Canis lupus familiaris: one gene and its partners. The protein of the gene in region 5 interacts with the protein of the main gene of each other region in a pairwise test. Links are inferred from orthologs where the notes say so. Each region holds a gene or a part of one and is shown on either strand. Other genes may lie near its edges. The genes, in order: FKBP1B, ASNS, FAM110A, IYD, TRIM69 and NEK8.

Region 1 (4,095 bases), on a different chromosome or scaffold from region 5:
AACTGAAGCTGCTCCATGGACCTATCCGAGTTACAAACCCCTGTCCTACACTTTCCCCAAGAGTGCCTCCCCATGGACCATAGTCCAAGGAAGGACCCGGTGCATCACTAGATTTTAGACTAGCTGCATACCTGGGAGACTCTGGGCCACGCCGTGAAGCAGTCCATGGGGAATTTCGGATGCTGACCCTCATAGTACAGTTGGCCATCATCTTTCTTGAACAAAACAGCCAGTGCTCCTTCAGTGATGCTGATATCCTCAAGTCTGACCTAACCATCTGGGAGCCTTGGGGGTGGGGGTGGAAGAAGAACATTTCTAGGGTCCACTCTGGGTGCCTTTGCTCAGGCTTTTCTCCTCGTGCCTATATTCCAGTGCCACTGGTCAGAACCATGCTTTCACGTCGATTTTTAGAACAATGCAGGGAAAGATGAGAGAAAAAGAGAGGGGAAAAAATAAAGTTCCATTCATTCTTCAAGCAAATGTCATCTCCTCCAAAGATGTTTTTCTAGATTCCTGGAACTCTTTTGGGTGGAGGTGAAGGGTCTAGCGTGGAAGAGGAGCTCAAGGTATAATTTATTCATTCATCCCACAGCACGAATCACTCCACGCTGTAACTAACTCTCCCCGTCCCCGCCCGTCACAAAATTTCATTCTTTGACGACAGCGATTCTGCTTTAATTAAATTGGTATCCTCAGGGCTCTGTTCTTTGCCTTGAAGGTGGGCATCTACCTGTGAGTGCTGGAGAACTACGCGGGACGGCGACCAGGGGTTTAGGGAGATCGCAGTGGGGTAATGGCCGGTGCCCTCCCCCCCGCCCCCTCCCCCCGCCCGCGCGCACCCCCAGGCTGCTCCTACAGTCCGGCAGCCGAGCCAGGGCGAGTACCCTAACGGGTGCTGCCCTAACGTTCTGGACTCCAGGGCAGTGAGCGCATCTATTTAAAGTGTTGGTTTAGTTGCTGGCTTTCGCCTAGTCGGTGGGACCGGGTTGACTCCCCAGAGCTTAGCACAGAGTAGATGCTAGATAAATCTGTGATGAGCGGATGCATAGAGGGGTGGCTGCACCGGCGGGTGCGTAGATGCGCGGGGGTCTCTGCCTCCCCCTCCGTCCCCCCCCACCCCCGTGAACGACGGTCGGCCCGGCCAGGCCCGGGAGCCGCGGCGCCGGGGTCCCTTCCCCGGGCCCCGCCCCAGCCGACCCCACCTTTCCGCGCCGCCCCGCTCCGCCCCGCCGCCCCCTTCCCCGTGGCCCCTCCCCGCGCAGGTCCCGACTCCCGCCGCACCTCCTCCGGCTCTGCAGTGGCGGCGGGGAGGCGAGCCGGAGCGCCAGCGGGGCCGGGGCCGGGGCCGGAGCCGGAGCCGCAGCCGAGCCGGGGTCGGGGCAGCAGCCGGGACCCTCAGAGGCGGGGCCAGTGGGACTGCGATGGGCGTGGAGATCGAGACCATCTCCCCGGGAGACGGTACCGGGCGGCGGAGCCGGGGGAGGAGGAAGGGTCCCGGGGCGGAGCCGGGCGGGCGGGGGTCTGGGTCGGAGGTGGCGCGGAGGGTGAGGACGCGGGGGCGGGCGCAGGGTGGGGCGGCGGGGGAGACCCCAGACTGCACTGTCGGAGCTCTGGCCGACGACCCTCCGCCCCCCTCCCCGCGCCGGCTCACCTAGGGCGTCGGAGGCGGCGGCCGCAGGCGGGGGTCTGGGCCCGCCACCGCCCCGGGGGCCTCGGGCGCCGCCGCCGCCGCGGGAGCCCCTCAGTTGTCTGCCGCTGCTAATTTCCCAGGGCAGGGGTTTGGCTCTGCTCTCCCTGCCCTGCTAGGTGAGCTCCGGGGACCGCTGGAAGGGTTCCCTTCTTGGGGCAACCCGTTTCCAACGCGCCCCCCTGAGGGCCTCGGCTCCCGCGGCCCCCGTGGGCTGGGCGGGGAGACGTTGTGGGGGGACCGAGCCCGTCTGCGAGGAAGAAGCGCTCCCTCCGCCGCCTCTGCATCCTGCTTTATCCTCCCCGCCCCACTCCGCCTCTCCAGCCATCCTGTACACTCCCATGGCTTTCATTACCGTCTGCAAACCGATGGCCTCCAAACTTAAGCCTCCAGCCCAGATCTCCGACCCATTTATCCAGCTGCTGCTCGACCTCTACCTGGATGTCCCATGGAAACCTAATTCAGCGAGTCCAAAACAACTCGAGCTCCTTGTCCTCCCCACGCCCAAGCACTCCTCTGTATTTCCCTTTTCCCTGCCCCCCCCCCCCCCCCCCCCCCCCCCCCGTCAGGAGCGGCACCACTCACTTTCCCCAGCCAGACATCTCTTGTATAATTGGGTCTGGATGTGCAAGGAATAGCTTATTTTAAAAAATTTTAAATGACACTTAATCCAGTCCAGAGCCCCCGTTTCTGCAGAATTTGACAGACAAACTTCATGTGAGACATGTCTGACAACCCCCACCCTCTCTAGGAAATTGGAAGACCTCTTGGTTCTAGGCCACCCTCCTTGTTAAAAGGCAGTGGTCCCTAGAGGTCCCAGTCCCGATCCCTGTCACCCTGCAGGTACAGGCTTCTTTGCCCCCACTGAGAACAATAGTGCTGGGTCCCAGGAAGCATCTCTCTGAGACCTTGTCACACCCCAGGGAAATTGCCATTGAGATCTCCCAGGGAGCTGGAGGCCTCTTCTCTTTTCCCCTGACTCAAAGTAGCCTTTAGAGTTTTCTCTGCTTATCCTCCCTTTCTGGCCAAGGACAAGGGCCATTTTCTTTTGAGGGAGATTAGATTTTTCGAGAAAGCCTGAAAAAACTTTGGCCTTCTGCTTTAACAGTCTAAACCCTTGAGTCAAGAAGGCATAGAAGGGCCAAGCTACTGTATTGTTAGGCTGGGGGCACCATTCTAAGTGAAGCCCCGCAGCAAGTCTGGTAGGACTTGGTCCTTCTGCTGAAATTCTCTAGGCTACATCCGTTTAGCCCCTGCCCTGGTTCAGATGATGGTCTCTCATCAGGCTTTCTGCACATCCTCTACATTGGTCTCCACACATCCAGTCTGACCTCTCTGCCTTCCATCTGGCCTCCCTAACTCACTACCTATTTTCCACACCATAGCCTGAGGAGTCTTTAAAATGCCTATTTTAGGTTCCCATTCCCTTCTGCTCCCCTCTTACCTTATCCCCGTGCCTTGTGCTTTAATGAATCTTCCATTTTCTTCTCAGACAGATAGTAATCTAGCCTGGTCTTACCTTCCACACTAGGGCAGTCTCTTACTACAGCCCCTACCCCCACTACCACCTTTTTCTGTAGCTTCAGCAAGCTTCCTGCAAAGTTGTTAAAACACATCAATCATTCCGCAAATATTTATTGAACATGTACTATGTGCTAGGCCCTGGGGTTAACAGCAGTGAGCCAGACAGGGATCCCACTAGTGCTAGACTCCAGGCCTTTGAATGTGTCATCAGTTCTTCCCAGATTATCTCCTTTAACTTCCTCTGGCAAACTAGTCATCTCTTAAGATCTGGTTTAACCTTATCTCCTCTCTGATGCTTTCCTGGACTCCCACAGAGTCCTCTACATGTTGGCTCACTTGTTTGCCTCCCAAAGATTTGTTATCCAGGCCTGTGGCTTTAAATTCCACCCAGATTTATACCTCCAGTGCAGACCCTCCATCTGCCTACTTGCAATATAAACTCAGATGTCTAATAGGCATTTCAAGACTGCCAACTGCTCAAATCTGCTCCTCCCCAGTCTTCCCCACCTGGAATTAGTTCGTTCCACCATACGTCCAATTGCCCAAACTGAAAACCCAAGCATTGTACTTGATTTCTCCTTGTCCCTCCTCCTGGACCCCATCTCCGTTCCATTAGTGTACTCTGTCAGCCCCGTTTCCCAAACGTATCTATTTTGCTCTCTTCTCTGCTGCCACCACGTTAATTCAAGCCATAATTGATTTCCTGTCTGGATTATTGCAACAGGCGCCTAATCGTCCATCCTACAGGCAGCAGCCAGAGTGATCTTATAAAATCTTAATTCAGATTATGTCATCCTTTTGCTTAAAACTCTCCAGTGCCTTCCTATTGCGCTTGGAGTTAAATCTAGCTCCACGATGTCCAATGTCTGGCATGATCTGCATGA
Region 2 (3,978 bases), on a different chromosome or scaffold from region 5:
ATGTTATCTAGGATCAGATATCCTGGCTGTATAAGAAAAAAAAAAATTTAGGTTGATAGAGCTGCATAATGTTCATCATCAAAATGTTCCAAAAGACAAAAATATTGGAGAATATTTTTATCTCAAGGTTGCCTTGGTTCATAAGAAAGCAAAGTAAGTGGCACATAAACAGCAACATCATCTCTGAAAAACAACTTGGCCATCCCTATAGGCTAAAAAGCAAACAATTCCTACAAATGTTACCTTGCAATTTCATATTCTCAACTGTGAAATAAAGGGTTGTTTTATCTGGATGCTGTCAGCCAGGTATTTTACCAAAATATCTCGAACTTAGAAACTATTTGGGAATTTTTTTTTCTTTTTCTTTTCTTTTTTTTTATTTGGGAATTTTTAATTCAAAATTGCAGCCAATGCCTAATTTGAGACAAAATTATCAAGAAAATTTATACATTTAAGTTACACCAGTCAGTTTGGACAATCCTCTGAGGGTGTTTGTATCTAAGTGAACCAAAGCTTGTTTAGCCTTTTAACAAGACCATATCAAACTGATGAAAAGTAGGGACTCAAACAACATGAAGTGGCACGTGTCCTATGTAGTCCCTTCCATGCACTTGGCCAAATAGCTTCTTCTTTTTTTTTTTAAGATTTATTTATTTATTTATTCATGATAGACATAGAGAGAGAGAGAGGCAGAGACACAGGCAGAGGGAGAAGCAGGCTCCATGCCAGGAGCCTGACGTGGGACTCAGGATCACGCCCTGGGCCAAAGGCAGGCGCCAAACCGCTGAGCCACCCAGGGATCCCCTGGCCAAATAGCTTCTAATGGGATTTTTGAGATTAGGGGAAATTTACTTAGATTGAAATGATATGACTACTGATAAGCCAGGTTTCACTCTATACCAGTTAAAAATGGACTGAGACAGTGCTTTGAAAATCACAAGAGGGGGACGCCTGAGTGGCTCAGTGGTTGAGCGTCTGCCTTCAGCTCAGGGTGTGATCCTGGGATTAGGGATCAAGTCCCACATCAGGCTCCTTGTAGGGAGCTTGCTTCTTCCTCTGCCTGTGTCTCTGCCTCTGTGTCTCTCATGAATAAATAAAAAAAAATCTAAGAAAAAAAAAAAAAGAAAAGAAAATCACAAGAGGTCATTACTGAATCATTTACCCGTCTTCCTAATGCAGCTTAGTGAATCCCACTATTAAGTCTACTATAAGGAACACACATTAAGCACTAGAGGAGCAAGAAGGGGAACACACATTAATTAGGAAGCACACTTCCTTCTGCAGCAGGAAAAAGCACATTAAAACTATTACCTATTTTTATTGGACTCTTACTTGCAAAGGTCCTACTTGCGTGCTTTTTCCTTCTGCTATTACCTGTTCCCAGGAATTCTCTGTATTTCCTCATAAACTTCTAGAACAGTGCTGTCCAGTAGAAACGTGAGCTACATATGGTATTTTAAAAACACTAGTAGCCCCATTAAAAAAAGTAAATAGAAACAGGGACGATAACTTGAAATATGTTTTAACATAATATACCAAAAATAGTATTTCAGTAGGTAATCAGTATAAAAAATTATCAAGATACATTGCCTTTCTCTATTAAATCGTCAACATCTGGTGTGTCTTACACTTACACCACACCTCAATTTGAACGAGTCAGCATTTCAAGTTCTCAGTAGTTACATGTGGGCTGAATTGGACAGTGCTGCTTCGGTGCATTTGATTTCGAGGCTGCTTACCAACTACCTCACCATATTGTTTTATTTTTGCATTAAGATATCAGCAACCGACTCCTGGACAGGCTCAAGACTTAAGTTATTATTATTATTTTTTAATCTTACAGCAATTTGATCAATGAGAAAAGGGTCATGAGTGCTTTTAAATGGTTAGGCAAGGCACCCAGGGCAATGGCCTATGAAGAAATAATGTAGGCCAAGGGCCCAGAAGAAAACGGTCCTTTTATTCAAAAGAGTAACATTAATCTGAAACTAGCCCTACGGAATAGATATCCATGAGAAAGGCAAGTCAGTTCTTTTGCTTTGTTCCACGCCACTCCGCCTGTCGCCCTGACAGATCTCTTCTGGGTGAGGTTTGCTCAAGTCACTTGTGGAGTCCTGCAGTCTGGCGGGGAGGGTGGGGAGGGTGGGGAGAGGGAGGGGAGGAAACGGGTGGGGCGAGCCGGAGGTGAGGGGCACGTACAGACCCTTAGGCTTGGACAGACGGCCCGGGGATCCGACCAGCTGCTGCGCCGCCCGAAACTCCGACTGCCCCGCAGCCACGTGCAGCCGCCGGCCGCTTCCCCGGACTGCGAACATCTCCACAGGCTTCGGTGCAATAGGATTACAAGCTGTGAGATGTACCGGGGCCCGGGTGGGCCGCAGCCCGGCCTCCCCTCTGCCTTTCCCCGGGCCCCCTCCTCGCGGGGCCGGGAGCGAGGTGTTCGCTCCCCCGCGGGCTCCCAGGTGCGCCACAATCGGCCCCGCCCCTCGAGCCGCAGGAGCCGCAGGAGCCGCAGGAGCCGCAGCGCGGGCAGGCGGCGGCCGCCTGGGGCCCGGGGCGCGCAGGTCGGCAGCAGCGCCCCGGCCGCCTCCTCGGCCTCCCGCCCCCTCCCCGGGCCGGCCCGGGCCACGCCGGGAGGGCGCTGCGCTGGGCGGCCGGGCCTGGCTTACCTGGGCTCCGGCGGAGGCGTCGGCGGGAGGCGCCGGGTAGGGGCTGCAGGTTGCGGGCGGGGCGGCGGGCCTGCTCGGCTTTCTCCCGGCCTCGCTCCTGTAATGCTTGCGGGAAGTTTCATCATGTCTGTGGGCGCCAACCAGCGCGCAGGGGCGTGGCCCACGATGCGAGACCTTGGCGGGGCGGAGCAGGAGCGGGGAGCAAGGACCGACTGCTCCGTTCCAGCTCCTTAAAGTGTTAGCGCACCTGCTGGAGGGGAGAGCCTCAGAGGTCTAGCCGGGTGCCCCGCTGACACCTAGGGTGACCTCACCTGCTCTTCTGGCCATGAGGAGGTCTTCTGCCCTTGGCTTGTTCTTTGGGAAATCATCGCCAAATTGATCAGTGTCCCCTTCGCATCAGATCTCCCTCATGTCCTTAATTGCAAAGGTTTTAGGTGCACAGGTATCCACTGCGCTCTAACAAAAAGGCCCGCATGGGTACCTGTTTTTGCTACCTGAAAGAAATCAGAAGAGGATTTTTGCTTTTAGGGGGGAAAGGCGAAAAATGAAAATAGCGTTCAGTTTTTATTTGGCAGCCAGCATGGATGGAGCAGCAAGAATGGCACTGCCAAGTTCCCTCCCCAGATCTGCACTCAGCATCAAGGTGCCCTAGCTTTGAACAATGTCTTAGAGCATCTGTGCTTTATCTCCATTTATATCGTGCATTCGTTAGCAGGATGTGTCCTAAGGTGTCAGAAAGGCCTAAGAGAGGTTATTTTGAGGATCTAAGAAAACCCATTTTCCATGTAAAGTAATGAATGGTAACTGCTTCTTCATTTTATGTCATTTCGGCCTACAAAATGTTTCATAGGAACACTCTACTTTGAGATAGCAGGGAAACCTGTACTTCAGTTTCCCCTTGACTCCTAAGAGAGCATCCGATACATAGACGTGTATGTATACATACAGAAAGATCTGTCCTATTAATATATAATGGGGCAGATGGGAAGAGCTGGAAGGATATCATCTTTCTATTAACTATGAGGTAGATTTCACTATCTTCTATCTCAGACGTAATTAAATTTCTCCCCCTTCTGGATATCAGATCAGTGAATTTTTATTTTGTGTTGGATCATCATCAAACTTGTGATGCCGTTATATTCGCCTTCAATTAGATTGTCACTTTCCTGGTTGTGTTGACTTGACCTTTTGAGCCTCATTAGCAGCTCAGTGGATACCACTAGGTAGATTCTCAAACCTGTATTCAATTGGATTCAGTTCTTCATCGTATTTTGTCATTGACAAATGTCAGTTTCAGGAAAGGATGGAG
Region 3 (4,099 bases), on a different chromosome or scaffold from region 5:
GCTTCGACGTTTATAGTTTTCATGACATTCTGCACCCCCCACCCCACCCCTTCCTTCCACCTGCTTCGCTCTTTCCATTCGGCAGAAGCCAGGCCCTGACTTGGGTGGAGACAGGGAGGCCCTCACCTGCCCCAGAGGAGGATCAGGAAGGCTCCAGGCAGCAGGGAGGGGGCCAGCCAATAGGGCAGGCCAGCTCGATTTCAGCCCAGCTGTCCGGGTCAGAGACACCCAGCTGGGCATCCTCCAGGGCCACGCCAGGCTCCGTGCTATTTCTGGAGTCTCCCCAGACACTCATGCCCTGACCTGCTTGCAGTGGGCCTTGCCCAGGGCACACTTGCACACATCTCAGAAAGAGAGAGGTGAGCGGACTGAAGGAGGGCTGTGGGCACAGACGCCTGAAGCACTGATCTTCTATCGGCCAGCGGACAGCTCAGCTCCACCAGCTCAATTATCTGTGCCTCAGTGTGTACCTGAAGTTGCAAAATGAGGACAAACGGGCTTGCAGTGGAGACAGAGACTGCATGCAAAGCCTCAGGGAAGGTCCTGGCTCACAAGGATAGTGAAGGTGGAGGTTGGGGTAGACTCCGGGGCAAGCCCACTTCCTGTCCTGGACTGCCTTCTTCCCAGACCTGAGTTTGCCATCATGGCTTCTTATCTTGGCCCAGAGAGGTGAAGAAACTTTCCCAAAGTCACACAGCAAGTCAATGACAGATCACAGATGGGGCACTGGTCTTATGATCAAATATATCATCTATAATGATTCATATGTATATAATGCAACCAGATGATATATGCCCATGACTCAAAATTCAAAAACTATGAAGAGAATGAAGTAAAAAACAAACTCTTTCCCACCCCTGTCCCCAGCCACCCAGTTCCCCTCCCTGCAGGTGCCACTGTAACCAGACAACTGTGTGTCCTTCCAGGGAGATTTTAGGCAGATCAAGCAATAATGAGTATAAATTCTTTCTATTTTTGTACACATATGGCAACATGCTGTGTGTACTGTATTCACCTTGCTCTTTTTACTCAATAATACATGTTGTTTTAATAATGTTAATATAGTATTAATTCTAATATATGTATTAATATACTTAATAATATATGTTGTCCAAAAATATGTGTGGTGGCACATCAGTAACATAAAGAGCTCGTCAGCCCCTGCTGATGACCATTTAGTGTGTGTCCAGACCTGCCCTATTACAAACCAGCCTGCGGCGTCACTGCACCTACATTGCGTTGCCTAGAAGTGAGACAGCTGGGCTGAGGACGTGCTTGTAATCGTGACAGAGACGGTGTACTGTGTTCCATAGAGGCCATGTGAGTTGATCTCTACCAGCAGAACACGCAGCAAATAGTAACAGTTAGCTTTAGGGCACCTGGGTGGCTCAGTCGGTTGAGCTTCCAAGTCTTGGTTTCCATTCAGGTCATGATCTCAGGGTCCTAGGATCCAGCTTCCCCTCCTCCCCCCTTGAACTCCCCTGCAAAAGGAGGATCTGTTTCTCCTCCCCCTCTGCCTCTGCCCCCTCACCCTCAATCCCCCAACCCACTCCCACACTCCATCTCTCTCTCTCTAAAATAAATAAATCTTTAAGAAAATAATAACTGTTAGCTTTAGTTATCTTGATTAGAGGTTTTGGCACCCCTCAATTTTGCCCGGGAGGCCACCTTAGCCCCTCCTCCTATCACATTCCAGTGGAAGAAGATATCAACTCCCTAATAAGTGAAATACAGAGGACATTAGATGGGCAAATGCCACTGAGAGAAACAAAATAGACAAAGGGGAGGGCAGGGCATGGCATACAAAGTCAATAAATATTTGTTGAAAGAATAAATGAAAGACTTATTTTCTTTCTGAGTTCCCAGAGCATCCCCAGGAGTCAGGGCCTGGTCTACGTATGCTGCTCCAGCCAGAGGTGTCAGCAGCCCCATCCTGAACTCCAAAGTCTCTGCTGACTAGTGGCTTAACGTTCAGTGGCTGCCTTTACCCATTTCCCCCAGCCTGGAGCAGATTCTCAAGAATCTAACAGTGGTTCCAGGGCCAAAGCACCTGCTGCCCACCTAGCACCTAACCAAGACACGTCGGTCCAGTCGGATCCCCCAAAACAGCCCTTTGAGATGGCACTGCGATTCAGTACCCTGTGGGCAGAAGGACCCCAAACGAGCCCTGAATCCAACCTCTGGCGTCCTAGAGAAGGGAAGACAGATGCCCAGAGGGGGCACCCAGGGGGCAATGCAGGAGCGGCGCAGGAGGTAGGTGATCCAGCCTGGGCTCCAGGGCATAGCAGCCTTGCAGGCTGAGGAGCTGACCACCAGTTGAGCGTCTGGACCTCTCCAGGCAAATCTGGGTCTACCCAGACTGGAGATTTCGAGGTGGAGCTGAAAGATGTGAACTGGATTCTCAGCCAGGGATGGGACACTTGCCTCCGGGCGCCTCAGCGTTCTCCTCGGTGAAATGGGGTACCACCTCCTCCCGCACGTACGACGCCGGGAGGACGTATACAGCAGGCGCTCGGCGACCGGACCCCCTCCGACCCAGACCACCCGCCCCCTCACCTGAAGCCCGAGCTCGGCGAGTCCCGGCTCCGCCCGTGCGGGTCTTGGAAGAGGCTGACAGCTCGGACCCGGGCTGGGAATGGCCGCGTCCAAGGCGGCTCGGTGCGCCCCAACCCGGCGTGGGGGCCCGCAGGGGCCTCCTCCGAGCGGCTGCGCGTACCCGAGACGGACCGGGGCACCAGGCTGTCCCCAGGCCCCCGCCGGCCCGGAGGTCCCCGGGGCGCAGAGGAAAGGGAAGTGAGCTCGCCGCTCTCCCCCCGCCGCCCGAATGGTTTGCCCCGGACATCCTGATTGGCTCCTCGCTTCCGTTCGAACGCCGCGCCGCCTGGGTTGCCAGGCGACCGCTTAGCTTGGGCCCCGCGAGCGAGCGCCCAGCCTCGCCCCCCAGCCCAGCGCCGCTCTGCCCCGCCGGCCTGCTGCTCCCGCGGCCGCCGCCGCTCTGGAGCCTGGTTCTCTCCCTTGGCCAGGCCTTCCTCCCGGTCCCCAACACGATGAGGCGCCCTTTGGGCTCCCCAGCTAGTCTCCAGGTCCGCCTTTGCAGCTCGCTGTGTGAGCCCGGGCCAGCCCCTTTCTCTCTCTGTTCCCCTACGTGCTCAGTGGGAAATTGTGAAATGTGCAAACCCAGCAGTCCTGAACTTTACTAAGGAAATGACCAAAGATATGAGCAAAGATTAATATAGCCCAGCGTTATTTGCCATAGCAAAAGAATGGAAATAACTCCAATGCTCAGCAAAAAAAAAAAAAAAAAAAAAAAAGGATTGGTTATATAAAGCCATCCTGCGGAAGAGCTAAGTTTATCTAGCCTTTTACAAATGCTGGGTCTCTTCACATGACATAGCTCCGGTCAGTGCTCATGGCATAACCCTTTGAGATAGGTACCCTTAATTATCCCCACAGTCCCGATGACTGTAATGCAGTCATTAAAAATGATGTAGTTAAAGATATTTAAAGTATGAGGAAAATGCAAAGAAAGCTTTTTAAAAGTATGTTTCAGGGATCCCTGGGTGGCGCAGCGGTTTAGCGCCTGCGTTTGGCCCAGGGCGCGGTCCTGGAGACCCGGGATCGAATCCCACATCAGGCTCCCGGTGCATGGAGCCTGCTTCTCCCTCTGCCTGTGTCTCTGCCTCTCTCTCTGTGCAACTATAATATAAAAATAAAAGTATGTTTCAAAGCACTATGTACACATAACTACATATTAAGTACATAATTGCAATGTCACATGTATAATCATTTATAATAGCAGTTCATTTCTTTGTTGTGCTTTTGTGGATTTTCCACTTTCCAACACTTAAATATGTCAATGGAAAAAACCACAGGTTTTTAAAAAGGATTCGAATAAATGAACTCTAAGCACCCTTTGAGATGAGGAAATTTCACAGCTGTGAGTCACTGTTTGGGTCTAGGGCATTGTTGAATCTGAAGCCAACCTGTTTTCTAATCCAGATGGAGACTTTCATTCTTTGGATTGTCATTGACTGAGCACTTACTATATACATATTTTGGGCCAGTGGGGGAGGGGGACTAATCACCAGCTATCACTAGC
Region 4 (4,204 bases), on a different chromosome or scaffold from region 5:
AACATGTATCAAAAGAATAGTTGTCTATTACAAAAAAAAAAAAAAAAGTTAAAATGTATAATAAAATAAAACAAAATAAAAAAGGACTATTTAAATAATTTTAATTTTTGGATAGGTAATATAATGATAACAGTTAAAAAATTTAAACGTTATAGAATAGTATACAGTAACAATTCTCTCTCCCACCCTTGTCCCCCACTTTATCCAATACCACTGTCCATCCAAAAGAAGTAGCCACTGTTGTTCCTAAACTTTTTTTAAAAGTAAATATAGACTCAGAAGAAGTTGCCAAACTAGTACAGAGAAGTCCCGATATAATCACTGTTTTAAATTTATGGAATAATCCTTCATGAAATGTTATGAATATATAAGCACATATAAATATGTGGTATTTTCTGCTGTTTTCATTCCAGTGGTATCGTATTATACATAGTAGGGTATCTTGCTACTATAGACTGGATGCTTCTGTCCCCCTGTCCCCAAAATCAGATGTTGAAACTCTAACTCCCCCACCCCATGTGATGGTACGGGGAGGCAGGGTCTTTGGGAGTGACTTAGGTTTCTGTGGGGTCATGAGGGTGGAGCCCTCATTAGCAACAGTGGCAAAAAAGACATGAGAGAGATGGTCTACCTTTTCCCTCATGTAAGGTCACAGGAGGAAAGCATCCACCTTCAAGTCAGGAGAATACCTTCACCAGGAACCAGATTGGGTCCCACTTGATCTTGGACTTCCCAGCTTCAAAAATGGTGAGAAAAAATTTTCTGTTTAAGCCACTTTGCCTATGGTATTTTTGTTACACAGACCCAAATCAACATTTGCTAAACAAATGCTGACAGTTGCTTAAAAACAAAAACAAACAAACAAACCCTACCTAAGTCATATAATGAACCAAACCATCATTTTTAATGATTGTGGATCACTTTTCCTGGATCAAAAAGCATTTCTCTAAGGCAAAACACAAAAATGTCTTTGCTCTATCTGTTGTCTCAGGCTTCATTTAAAAAAAAAAATTCAAAACCTTTTGAATTTGTTTTACAAATATGCTGTTTTTAAAATGCAGATCACCAGTCCTTTTTCCTGGACATTTTCTTTCACTAGGTCTGAGTTGGTGCCTAAAAATCTCTTTTAAAAACAAGTTCCCCAGGTGATTCCTAGCTTCAGGCAAGTTGAAGGCACCTTGCTCTGGGAGAAAAACGGGAAGATCAAACCCCTTCAACCACTGTTAGTAAGGTCTGGTGCCTTAAAGTGTTTACTCAGATCCTGGCAGTTATTGTCTAAGAATATACTGATTGAGCGCAATTTTAAAAAATGAATGTACTTGTGCATTACCAACCCCCCAACACACCCTGAATGCACATGCCATGATCTTTGCTCCTTTGCAAAGTCCTGAGTCAGAGAGTTCACCTCCCCCGGCAGCACACCTCTCTCTTCCTTCACCCCAGCCCCCACCGTTCCTCGTTCCTGGCTCTGTTTGTTTAAATTCCGTGTGGGAAGAGTGTGCACCGTTTAGAGTCGGTCTCAGACCATGTTTTTCCTGACTCCAGTCTTGGTAGCAGTCGTCTGCATTTTGATTGCATGGATCTTTAAAAATGCTGATGGAAGAAGCATGGAGGGGAGGAAGGGGGAGAACAGAGCCAGGGCCCAGACCCGTCCCTGGGTGGATGAGGACCTAAAGGACAGTACTGACCTCCAGCAAGTAGAAGAAGGTAAGGACACGGGCAAAGCTGCATAGCTGCCACCTTCTGCATTGTTTTGATGGGTGCCAGGGGGTGACAGGGCTTAGGGAGGGCAGGAAACACGTGCAGGTCTGTTTCAGCAGCCCCCTCTGCTGTGCGGATTAGCATGTGACAGAGACAGATCATTTCTCTCAGGTGGTCGGCTTGGCACCTGCTGGCACCACTCCGATTGATTTCTGGATAAAGAGTCAGTAAACAGCTGTGGCGAGATTGCCATTCTCCTTGACCCTGTTCTGGCTGTTAAATCTTTCCGAAGGGGCACATCACAGGCTCATGGTGGTCACGGGGGAGGTGGTGAGGTTGGATCAAGCACTTAGAAATGTAAAAGTTGGCATTGGTCTAGGGGCTCTCTACCCTTCCTGTGGGTGAGAGGCCCGTCAGCTGTGTCCTCAAAGCTGGGTGTCCAACTTAGAGGACAAGCCAATAAACAAGCAACATAATGAAGAGCCAAACTGATCATCAGGGGCTTCCAGGAGGCACAGGGGTGTGGTGGGGCAGCAGAGAAAGGACAAGTCAGGCCTGGCCGGTTAATAGGACTGGAATGGTCATGGTTAGGATGCATCTCAGCTAAAAGGAGCAGAAAGAGCATAAAAGCAGGGACAGAACTCCTGGGAAAGTTGCTGAGAAGATGGGATCTCACTGGTGGGGGAAGGGTGGATGTGAAATGGGATGGTGAGCATGGGCCCGGTCGTGGCTGACCCGAGGATGAAGAGGTGGTAAGGAGCAGGCAAGCAGGGAGAGGTTCTGGAGGAGGCTTGAGTGATCGGTGTTTGAGATTCATCTGAGGTGGGTTGGTGGGATGGATTCAATTTTAGAAGAGGCTCAGTGATTCTCAGCTGGACTAGTGATGCTCCTGCCCTCCGAAAAGACCACCTGGACATGCATGTAAGTGTGCTGATGTGCCTGTGTGCACGTATGTGTGTTCAGAGTTGCCCTAATCTCAGGATATGGGGCGGGGGTTCACCTGGCACTCCGTGCTGGGAGCCAGCAATGCTGAAGGTACTGCACAGGATTCAAGCAAGGCAGCTCTTAGCAGGCCTGCCTCTCCTTCTTTCACTGAAGGACATCCCACCCAAATGTCAGTTCTGCAAAGTGCCCAGTTGAGAAGCACTTTTCCTGAACAAAGGGACATCCATTATGAAGCAGTTGTGATGGTCTGCCCTGGTAAGGATGGCCCGGACGATGGTGGCAGTGGAAATGCAGGGGAAGGAGTGAGTCAGGGCAAAGTTAAAGGAAGAACAACAGGGTTTGGTAATAAACTGGATAGAGGGAGGAGGAGAGGATGAGAGCTGGAGGCTGGAGGAGGCACAACAACGCTATCATAAATGGGGGAGGGGAGAGGATTCATAGAAAAGAGGTTGAACATACACAAAGACGTGCTGGATTTGAGAAGATGACACATCTAAGCAGAGAGCGAAAGGTGGTCCAGGTGAGAGATCCATAGATACTGATTGGACAGTCATCAGCCCAGGGTGATACTTAAAACTTGGAAAACTGATGAATCCCCTAAGGGGATGTTGCTGAGGGGAATCTGGGGCACCTGCAGGTAAGATGGCCTGTGGTGTGAAAAAGGGACCACGGAGAAGACCATCTGGGGAAGGAGCTCCAGGATAATGACAACAGTAGGCTCCTATGGAACACTGGCTGTGTCTACTCAGCATCACACGTTATGTATAGTAAACCACTCAGTCTTTACGTCAATACAGCAAGGCAGCCACTATTATTTCCCCATATTACAGATAAGGAAATTGGGGCTAAACTATGCTAAGTTACCTGCTCAAGCAGATAGTGGTAGAGCCAGGACCCAGGCTGTCTGCTCTGTAGTCCAGGCACACAGCCAGTTGCTAGGTTGCCTTTCTAATAGGAGAATAAGCTAGAACAGAGTGGGCAGGAGACCACCAGCAGGCTCTCAAATTTCCTGAGAGATCTGAGGTAGTTTGGGGGATACAAGAGGGATTGGTGAGGTTGGTGGGGAACCAGGGACCTGGGGCTGGGCCTAAAGGTTGGGAACACATAACAAAGCTATATGGCTCCATCTGGTTCTGTCCTCTGCCTACTTATTCATTTTTGCAAAATCCTCTGCCTCTTATTCTCTAGTCCTCACACAGAAGAATAACTTGAACATTTAGTGGCCTCCTCAGCACCCATGGGCAACTCTGCTCTGAATGTAGAGTTCAGTTTCTCGCTGGAATTTTTGTTGTTCGCTTAAGTGGTACCTGCTGAGGTCTCATAGGTGATCGGTGAGAAGCAACATTTAAACCCAGGCTTCTCTGCCACCCAGTTCCCTGCTCCTGACCCCTGGAAGGGTGGACACAGTCTAAGAGAGGATTCACTGCTGGTACTGCAGGCTTATAGAGGACTGAGTGGGACATAAGAGAAATGATTCCATTACTGAAGAAACATGGAGTTGCTTTTGATGACAGCAAATGGATACCAGATTCAAACCATGCTGAAAATTAATTTTAAG
Region 5 (3,973 bases):
TTTTTTAAACTTAGGAACATAGTTCCTAGCTGATTATCAAAATTTCATAGCCATTTGTTTGATAAGGAGTTTTATCCAACAAATGACATGTACTGTTAAGGTGAGCAAGTTACAGCACTACTCAGTAGCTGTTCACAATTTAGTGAAGGGATAGACATGAAATCTAACAAAATAATTATGTACAGGTATGCAGAAAAATCTAGGGTGCTACAGAAATGTATAAAGCACTGATTCTCAACTGGGAATGAGTCCTACTCCCATACACCTAGCAGATATTTGGCAATGTCTGGAGACATTTGACTATCATAACAAGAGGGGGCGGTGTGCTACTAGCATCTAGTGAGCAGAAGCCAGAGACATGGCTAAACATCCTAAAATTCACAGGACAGTCCCCACAACAAAAACTAGCTAGCTCAAAATGTCAACAGGGCTGAAGTTGAGAAACTCTGATATAGAGCCAGCAAAATATTTTCTACAAAGGATGGGGGAGGGGAGTAAAGCTTGGTGGGGCTGGTTATGGAAGAGTTTACTAAAGAAATAATGATTGGGGGAGGGGGACAACATGTGCAAAGCTACAGACCCTGACATATTTGGGCAATCCTAAACACCAGAGGAATAGTTGTGGGCATTAAGACTGGACAGTGAGGCATTTAGTAGGAGCTAGATATTCTATAAAATCTTTTGCATTAGAGGAATTACTGTAAGAAAATCTGGTTCCATGATGGCTGTTTATATGTGGGTCACTCAGCACAGTCTAAGGACAGATCTCTGTGAACTAAAACTGCTCAAAAAAGAAATGAAGCTTTCCTCATCTTGCTTCCTTAGGGCCTAGGGTTTTCCAGGCATTTGTTTCGTTCTCAGAAATAGAGTCAGGGCTATTCAAATGGAACATGAGATCTGAGAGGTGGAATAGCTCTCTATTAAAGCCATTGAGGTGGCATCTCAATGCTGGGATCATAAGCAGAGATAAGTGATTATTTCTCATGCATTAGGCTTACAGGCAGATGCTTATTTGCTCTTTCCTAGAGAATCTCAGTTCAGAATTGGGGATATATCAATCTCAGGATTAGACCCACCTTGAATCTAAATGAGTTGCCTTTCCCCTCCCCCACAAAAAAGGGTGGGTGGGTAGGCCATTCCAATTAGGGTTTCTCTTTCTCTTAAGCTAATGATGATCAAAACTGACAAACTGCCACGGAATCCTCCAGACCTCTCTCTGGCCTTGCCCTATCTCCTCAGCTCCTGAACTTTTCTTCCTTCCGTCATGGTCTTAGCCCATTCTTAGCAAACTACCAGGTCCCGGACTCCTGGTCTGCAGCTATCCTGAGCCTGTTGTGCTAGGATTCAAGTGCCTGCATCTGCTCCCTAGTGGCCTGATGACAGAGCTTAATGGAGGTGAGCGACCCTTCTCTAACTCACCTGATTTTCTAGGCATAGTGTGGGAAACTGGGTCGCAGAAGGGGATATGGATTTCAGAGCATGAAAGGAAATTTAGGGAAATATTTGTGGCAGCTTACAGCTGCTATACTTTCTTAGGGTATTGGAATAACTAAGGATTTATTTATTTATTTTAAAGATTTATTTATTTTAGTGGGGGGGGGCAAGGAGGGACAGAGGGAGTGAGAATTTCAAGCAGACTCCCTGCTGGGCACAGAGCTGGACATGGGGCTAGATCCCACAATGCTGAGATCACGACCTGAGTGGAAATCAAGAGCTGGCTGCTTAACTGAGTCACCTAGATGTCCCTGGAATAACTGAGAATTTAGATAAGAGAGTTTGGTAGGTAAGTAGTGATGCCCACCGTAAACTTTTGAGAAAAATCAAACTAAATGCTATATAAAAATGTACTTTCTTTATTAACTAATCACTTTAATTATTTTTTATATTCTAAAGATTGTTTTGTTGTTTCAGTATGCATGGATCTGTTTCATCCTTTTCACATTTTAATTCTAGTATAGTTAACATACAGTGTTATATTAGTTTAAGCGTATAATATGGTGATTCAACAATCCTATATGTTACTCAGTGCTCATCAAGATAAGTGAACTCTTAATCTACCTTCACCTATTTTTTTAAAGATTTTATTTATTTATTTATGAGGGACACACAGAGAGAGGCAGAGACACAGCAGCAGGAGAAGCAGGCTCCCTGCAGGGAGCTGGATGTGGGACTCAATCCCAGGACCCCAGGATCATGACCTGAGCCAAAGGCAGATGCTCAACCATTGAGCCACCCAGCTGCCCCCTCTTCACATATTTCACCCATCTTAATCACTTTATTTTAGGTTGAAAAAATTTATTATGTATAACTGTTTGCCAGTTATACCATAACATTTGATATTTTATATTTATAGTAGAGCTCATACTCACAGGAATTAAACATTTTTTGGTCTTCCAGTTACTTATTTTTATCTTTAGTTGCATCTTTCAAAATTGACTGAAGAACTAATCATTTTTTTTTCACTACAGTGAAGTCTGGGGTTATTTATACCTGTTAGAATTCTAAAAAGTTATACAAAGTTATAAATTCTAAAAAAGTTATAAATTCTTTTTTTTTTAAAGTTATAAATTCTAAAAAGTTAGAACTGGCATTAGCTAAGATATACTTTTTTTTTTTTTTTGAAGATTTTATTTATTTATTCGCGAGAGACACACAGAGAGAGACAGCAACATAGGCAGGGAGCCCGATGTGGGACTAGATCCTGAGACTCCAGGATCACGCCCTGGGCAGAAGGCAGGTGCTAAACCACCTGCCACCCAGGGATCCCGCTAAGATATACTTTTTAAAAAATTTTAATTCCAGTATAGTTAACATACAGTGTTATTATATTAGTTTCAGGTACACAATATAGTGATATGATAATTCTACACATTATTTAGTGCTCACCATAGTAAGTGTACAATCAATCCTCTTTGCCTATTGCACCCATCCACCCACCTACCACTCCTGCAGTAACCACCAATTCATTCTCTATAGTTGTTTATTTTGTCTTTTTTTTCTTCATTTGTTTTGTTTCTTAAATTCCACATATGAGTGAAATCATATGGTATTTTTCTTTCTGTCTTATTTTGCTTAGCATTATACTCTAGAGCCATCCATGTTGTTGCAAATGGCAAGATTTCATTCTTTTTTTTTTTAAGATTTTATTTATTTATTCATGAGAGACACACAGAGAGAGAGAGAGAGAGGCAGAGACACAGGCAGAGGGAGAAGCAGGCTCCATGTGGGGAGCACAACATGGGACTCGATCCCCGGTCCCCAGGACCACACCCTCGGGCTGCCTGATTTCATTCCTTTTTATGGCTGAGTAATATTCTGTTGTGTGTATATACCACCTCTTCCTTATCCATTCATCTATCGATGGATACTTGGGCTGTTTCCATAATTTGGCTATTGTAAATAATGCTGCAAAAAACATAGGGGTGGGGCAGCCCAGGTGGTTCAGCGGTTTAGCGCCACCTTTGGCCCAGGATGTGATCCTGGAGACCCGGGATTGAGTCCCATGTCAGGCTCCCTGCATGGAGCCTGCTTCTCCCTCTGCCTGTGTCTGCCTCTCTCTCTTTCTGTGTCTCTCATAAATAAATAAATAAATAAATAAATAAATAAATAAATAAATAAATAAATTCTTAAAAAAAAAAAAACACAGGGGTGCATGTATCCCTTCAAATTAGTGTTTTTGTATTCTTTGGGTAAATACCCAGTAATGAAATTACTGGATCATATGGTAGTTCTATGTTTAATTTTTTGAGGAACCTCCATAGTTTTCCACAGTGGCTCCACCAGTTTGCATTCCTATCAATAGTGCACAAGGGTTCCCTTTTCTCCACATCCTCAATAACACTTGTTGTTTCTTGCATTTTTGGTATTAGTCATTTTGACAGGTGTATGGTGGTACCTCATTGTGGCTTTAATTTACATTTCCCTGATGATGAGTGATGTTCAGCATCTTTTCCTATATCTGTCAGCCATCTGT
Region 6 (4,001 bases), on a different chromosome or scaffold from region 5:
GAGGTTTGGGTGTTTGTTCTGCCTCCTTTGATGGCTCCAAGATTACATATTAACTAACCCCTGTGGGGCTCCTGGGTCAACCACGGCTCTACTGGTTTCTAGGTGAGAGCACGAGTTTCCCGGGTTGAGCGGCTTTCCTCCTCTGAGCTCTCTTTTGCTCACAGGGCAGCTTTGTTCATCAGCCAATAGCAGCCTGAGCCAGCGACCCAGGGCCCCTCGTGGGGCCCCTCTAGTGGTCTTTCCACGTGGGCAGGTTTGAGTACCCTTTTGAGGGGTTGGGCGGGACAGAACGTAAACACTGCTTTCCTCCCATTCCTCGCCCACTCAGAAATAGGGACGCTGTCCCTTAGCTAATCACCATCCTCTTACTCCTTAACCGAGCTTTTTATGGAGCTCGCAGAGCAGAAGGCCCAAGGAGACAACAGGAATTAAACTCACTTCCAGTCAAGACCCTAGATGATCATACTAACCAGCCCCCTACAGTTTAGGCAGGAGCCTTGAACCCACATGGGTCAAACAGCTCTCCTTCCTCCTCTCTCTGATGCTCTCCGATAGTGGTGTACTTCTCTCATCTTCTCTCCGCCTGGCAGATTCTCCCCACAGTTGAGCCTTGAAGGCGATGGCCTGCAGCCAAGTTGTGTGTTGGTGTGTGGGGGCAGGAGGAGTGATGAAAGTGCTGGCGAGCGCGGTGCTCACTAGCTGGGACAGCCTGGAGTTTCCACATCCCTAGGTGAATCAATTTGCACAGCTTGGGGTTTCCCAGGTCCCTACCTAGGCAAACACGAAACTAACCCGGCACCCTGCCCCACAGACCGAGAGTGCTGATGCTCTCTTGGTACAGTTTTGGTAGTTGATCATTTGAGTGCCAGTGAGAATCTGCTCTCCTTCCGAAATAGCATCACTAGTGGGCAAAGAGGTGGGCTGAGAGAGGTCAGTCGTCGCTTTCCAACCTCGCTGGTTGTGCAGGGCACCCCTCCGCTCAATGGATGCTTCGCGAGGGCCAGATGCACACCTGTTTTTAGGCAGTGGCTGGTCCTGTCCTAGGCGCCAAAAATGGCATAACACCCCACTGCTGGGACCCTGAAAAGGCAACTGTGGGCGGGGGCTGCAAGGACTGTGTAAACAGCACAAGACAGATGCAAAGCTGAACCCACATCAATCTCACTTGCTCCGCCCCGCAATTATCTTGCAGCGTAGGGGGCGTGGTCCTGAGTGGGCGGGTCCGCGCACGCGCCGCATCGGGGCGGGGGGGGTTCCGGAAATGTGACTCTGAGAAATAAGATGGAGAAGTACGAGCGGATCCGAGTGGTGGGGAGAGGTGCCTTCGGGTGAGCCAGGGATCTGGGGAAGGAAAATGGTCGGGGAGAGGGAAAGTAAGCCCCAGCTCTGACCGCGAATTCGCTGCCCGGTTAGCCCCGCCCCGAGGCGTGAGCGCCCCTTGGAAAGCCCTGCCCTCGCTTCCGGTCCCGGCCCGGGCTGGGAGGCTCCGCCTCTCGCGAGGTCACGCCCCGACGAGCCTCGGCGCCCCCGCAGAGTTCTGTTCTTCGATTCCTGACTAGTTCGTTCCACAGATAGTGAGCCCGGCGCTGTGGGCTCCGGACGCTCCCGGCGACGCGTATATAGTAAAGACCAAAATGAGAGTGTCTTTTCCCTCTCGGAGCTCACAGACTGTAGTAAAATGATACAATAGACAAGTAATTAAAAGTTATTAACAAGCTGCGAGCCTGGAATACGCCAGGGAGTATTTATTTGGGGTGGTCAAGGAAAATTTCCCTGAGAAGTGAAGTTTAAAGCCACGACTTGAGGAATGCAAACCAGCAATCCACAGGTGCAGGCAGAGCTTTTCAGGCAGAGGAAGCAGCATATCCTCACGTGGAAAGGAATTCAGAGTATTCAAGGAACTGAGAAAAAGACTGGTGAAGTTGGAATGTAGCGGGCAAGGTCAAGAATGGTATATAAAGGGGCGCCGGGGTGGCTCAGCTGGTTAAACGTCTGCCTTCGGCTCAGGTCATGATCCCTGAGTCCTGGGATGGAGCCCGCACGGGGCTCCCTGCTCAGTGAAGAGCCTGTCTCTCCCTCTGCTACTTCTCTGCGTGCGCTCTCGCTCCCTCTCTGCCAAATAAATAAATAAAACCTTGAGGGAAAAAAAGAATAGTATGTATAAAAAATAATGGTATAAAATGTGATTGTCACAGAGGACAGATTATGGCATTATAGGCTGAGGTAAAGAGATTGGATTTATTTGAAGTGTAAAGAGAAGAGGTTTCAGCAGAATGGTCTTCATATGATTTGCATTTTTTATTTTTATTTTTATTTTTTTTTAAACTGTTTTTTTTTTTTAATTTTTATTTATTTATTATAGTCACAGAGAGAGAGAGAGAGGCAGAGACACAGGCAGAGGGAGAAGCAGGCTCCATGCACCGGGAGCCCGACGTGGGATTCGATCCCGGGTCTCCAGGATCGCGCCCTGGGCCAAAGGCAGGCGCCAAACCGCTGCGCCACCCAGGGATCCCGATTTGCATTTTTTAAATGTCACCCTGGCTGCTGTGTGGAACTTAGAGTTGAGGATGCCGAAAGTAAAAGGCATCATTTTAAAGGCTAGTGCAGTATTTTAGGCAAGAAATAATGATTTGGACAAGGGTATAGCAGAAGTCAGAAATGGATGAGTTCATAATATTTTGCAGATAGAAACAGGATTTATTGATACGTTGCTGTGAAATGGAGGAAAGATTTTGGGATGATTTTCTGGTGTCTGACTTTAATGGTGGTGTCAGTTACTAAGATGGAAGAGACTAAGGAAGAAAAGAGTTTGGGAGGGGGCACCTTGGTGCTCAGTGGTTGAGCATCTGCCTTTCGCTCAGGTCGTGATCCCGGGGTCCTGGGATAGAGTCTTGCATCGTGGTCCCCGCAGGGAGCTTGCTTCTCCCTCTGCCCCTGTCTCTGCCTCTTTTTCTGTGTCTCTCATGAAAAAATAAATAAAATCTTAAAAAAAAAAAAAAAAAAAGAAAGAAAGGGCTTGGGGCAGAAATCAAAAGTTTTATTTTGAATTTGTTAAAATTTCGGATGTTTGCAAGCAGTTCAGGTAGAAATGCAAAGCAAGTAGTTGGATTTCTGAGTCTGGGTCTCAGAGGAGAGGTCTGAGTTGGAAATACAAATTTGATACTTAGTTGATCCTCTTACAGTCCATTCATTCAGCAGATACTCATTGAGCTCTTACTATGAGCTAAACACTGGGCTATGATCTGGGGATATAGTTAAAAAGGAGAACAAGAACCCTGCTTTTATGGACACTGACTAGAGTTGAAAGAAAATAATTGTATGAACGGCTTCCACTCACTGAGCATTTCTGATGTGCCAAGCACTGTGCTAAGTGCCTTACATGCATTTTCTTTTTCTTTTTTTGTTCTTACATGCATTTTCTCATTTGATCCTCTCAACAACCGAGGGAAATTGTTTTTATCTTGCAGATGTAAATGTCATATAGTCGAAAACTAAGTGAGTAGTAAGAGCAGGAGCCAGGATTTGAGCCTGGCAGTTAACTCCAAAGTCTATGGGAACTTATGAAGATCAAGACTAATGTCACACTGCCTGTGATGAAACTGAGTCTCAGATAAGTTAAATGACTTGCCTAAGGTCTCACACAGAGTTTATGGTCAGTTCTCCCGGTTCTTAAACTCAGTGTTCTATGCATTTAGTTATAGACCTGTTAATCTTGGTGTCCATTCTCAGTCTTTTTTAAAGATTTTATTTATTTGGGACACCTGGGTGGCTCAGCGGTTGAGCATCTGCCTTTGGCCCGGGCAGGCCATGATCCCAGGATACTGGATCGAGTCCCACATTGGGCTCCTTGTGGGGAGCCTGCTTCTCCATCTGCCTAGGTCTCTGCCTATCTCTCTCTCTCTGTATCTCTCATGAATAAATAAATAAAATCTTAAAAAAAATATATTTTATTTATTTGAGGGAGCACAAGTGGAGGGGAGGGGAAGAGGGAGAGAGAGAAG

Evidence for each region.
Region 1: the proteins of TRIM69 (region 5) and FKBP1B interact in binary tests that used the Homo sapiens proteins (3 or more experiments, as listed by UniProt). The two-hybrid records come from large-scale screens. The link is inferred for Canis lupus familiaris from reciprocal best matches to the Homo sapiens genes TRIM69 and FKBP1B.
Region 2: the proteins of TRIM69 (region 5) and ASNS interact in binary tests that used the Homo sapiens proteins (3 or more experiments, as listed by UniProt). The two-hybrid records come from large-scale screens. The link is inferred for Canis lupus familiaris from reciprocal best matches to the Homo sapiens genes TRIM69 and ASNS.
Region 3: the proteins of TRIM69 (region 5) and FAM110A interact in binary tests that used the Homo sapiens proteins (3 or more experiments, as listed by UniProt). The two-hybrid records come from large-scale screens. The link is inferred for Canis lupus familiaris from reciprocal best matches to the Homo sapiens genes TRIM69 and FAM110A.
Region 4: the proteins of TRIM69 (region 5) and IYD interact in binary tests that used the Homo sapiens proteins (3 or more experiments, as listed by UniProt). The two-hybrid records come from large-scale screens. The link is inferred for Canis lupus familiaris from reciprocal best matches to the Homo sapiens genes TRIM69 and IYD.
Region 6: the proteins of TRIM69 (region 5) and NEK8 interact in binary tests that used the Homo sapiens proteins (3 or more experiments, as listed by UniProt). The two-hybrid records come from large-scale screens. The link is inferred for Canis lupus familiaris from reciprocal best matches to the Homo sapiens genes TRIM69 and NEK8.

Annotation. Positions count from the first base shown.
Region 1 is NC_049238.1:18,594,660-18,598,754, forward strand, and holds the start of FKBP1B (peptidyl-prolyl cis-trans isomerase FKBP1B), read left to right. Parts: upstream 1-1,295; 5' UTR 1,296-1,421; coding exon 1,422-1,458; intron 1,459-4,095. Other genes in the region: WDCP (WD repeat and coiled-coil-containing protein), read right to left, coding at 132-313. UniProt on the Homo sapiens protein: Has the potential to contribute to the immunosuppressive and toxic effects of FK506 and rapamycin. PPIases accelerate the folding of proteins. It catalyzes the cis-trans isomerization of proline imidic peptide bonds in oligopeptides.
Region 2 is NC_049235.1:22,693,092-22,697,069, forward strand, and holds the start of ASNS (asparagine synthetase [glutamine-hydrolyzing]), read right to left. Parts: upstream 2,801-3,978; 5' UTR 2,670-2,800; intron 2,425-2,669; exon of another isoform or gene 2,200-2,424; intron 1-2,199.
Region 3 is NC_049245.1:20,607,904-20,612,002, forward strand, and holds the start of FAM110A (protein FAM110A), read right to left. Parts: upstream 2,801-4,099; 5' UTR 2,557-2,800; intron 1-2,556.
Region 4 is NC_049222.1:41,294,055-41,298,258, forward strand, and holds the start of IYD (iodotyrosine deiodinase 1), read left to right. Parts: upstream 1-1,404; 5' UTR 1,405-1,526; coding exon 1,527-1,707; intron 1,708-4,204. UniProt on the Homo sapiens protein: Catalyzes the dehalogenation of halotyrosines such as 3-bromo-L-tyrosine, 3-chloro-L-tyrosine, 3-iodo-L-tyrosine and 3,5-diiodo-L-tyrosine.
Region 5 is NC_049251.1:11,648,055-11,652,027, forward strand, and holds the start of TRIM69 (E3 ubiquitin-protein ligase TRIM69), read left to right. Parts: upstream 1-1,173; 5' UTR 1,174-1,389; coding exon 1,390-1,395; intron 1,396-1,667; exon of another isoform or gene 1,668-1,783; intron 1,784-3,973.
Region 6 is NC_049230.1:42,893,858-42,897,858, forward strand, and holds the start of NEK8 (serine/threonine-protein kinase Nek8), read left to right. Parts: upstream 1-1,201; 5' UTR 1,202-1,281; coding exon 1,282-1,328; intron 1,329-3,467; exon of another isoform or gene 3,468-3,652; intron 3,653-4,001. UniProt on the Homo sapiens protein: Required for renal tubular integrity. May regulate local cytoskeletal structure in kidney tubule epithelial cells. May regulate ciliary biogenesis through targeting of proteins to the cilia.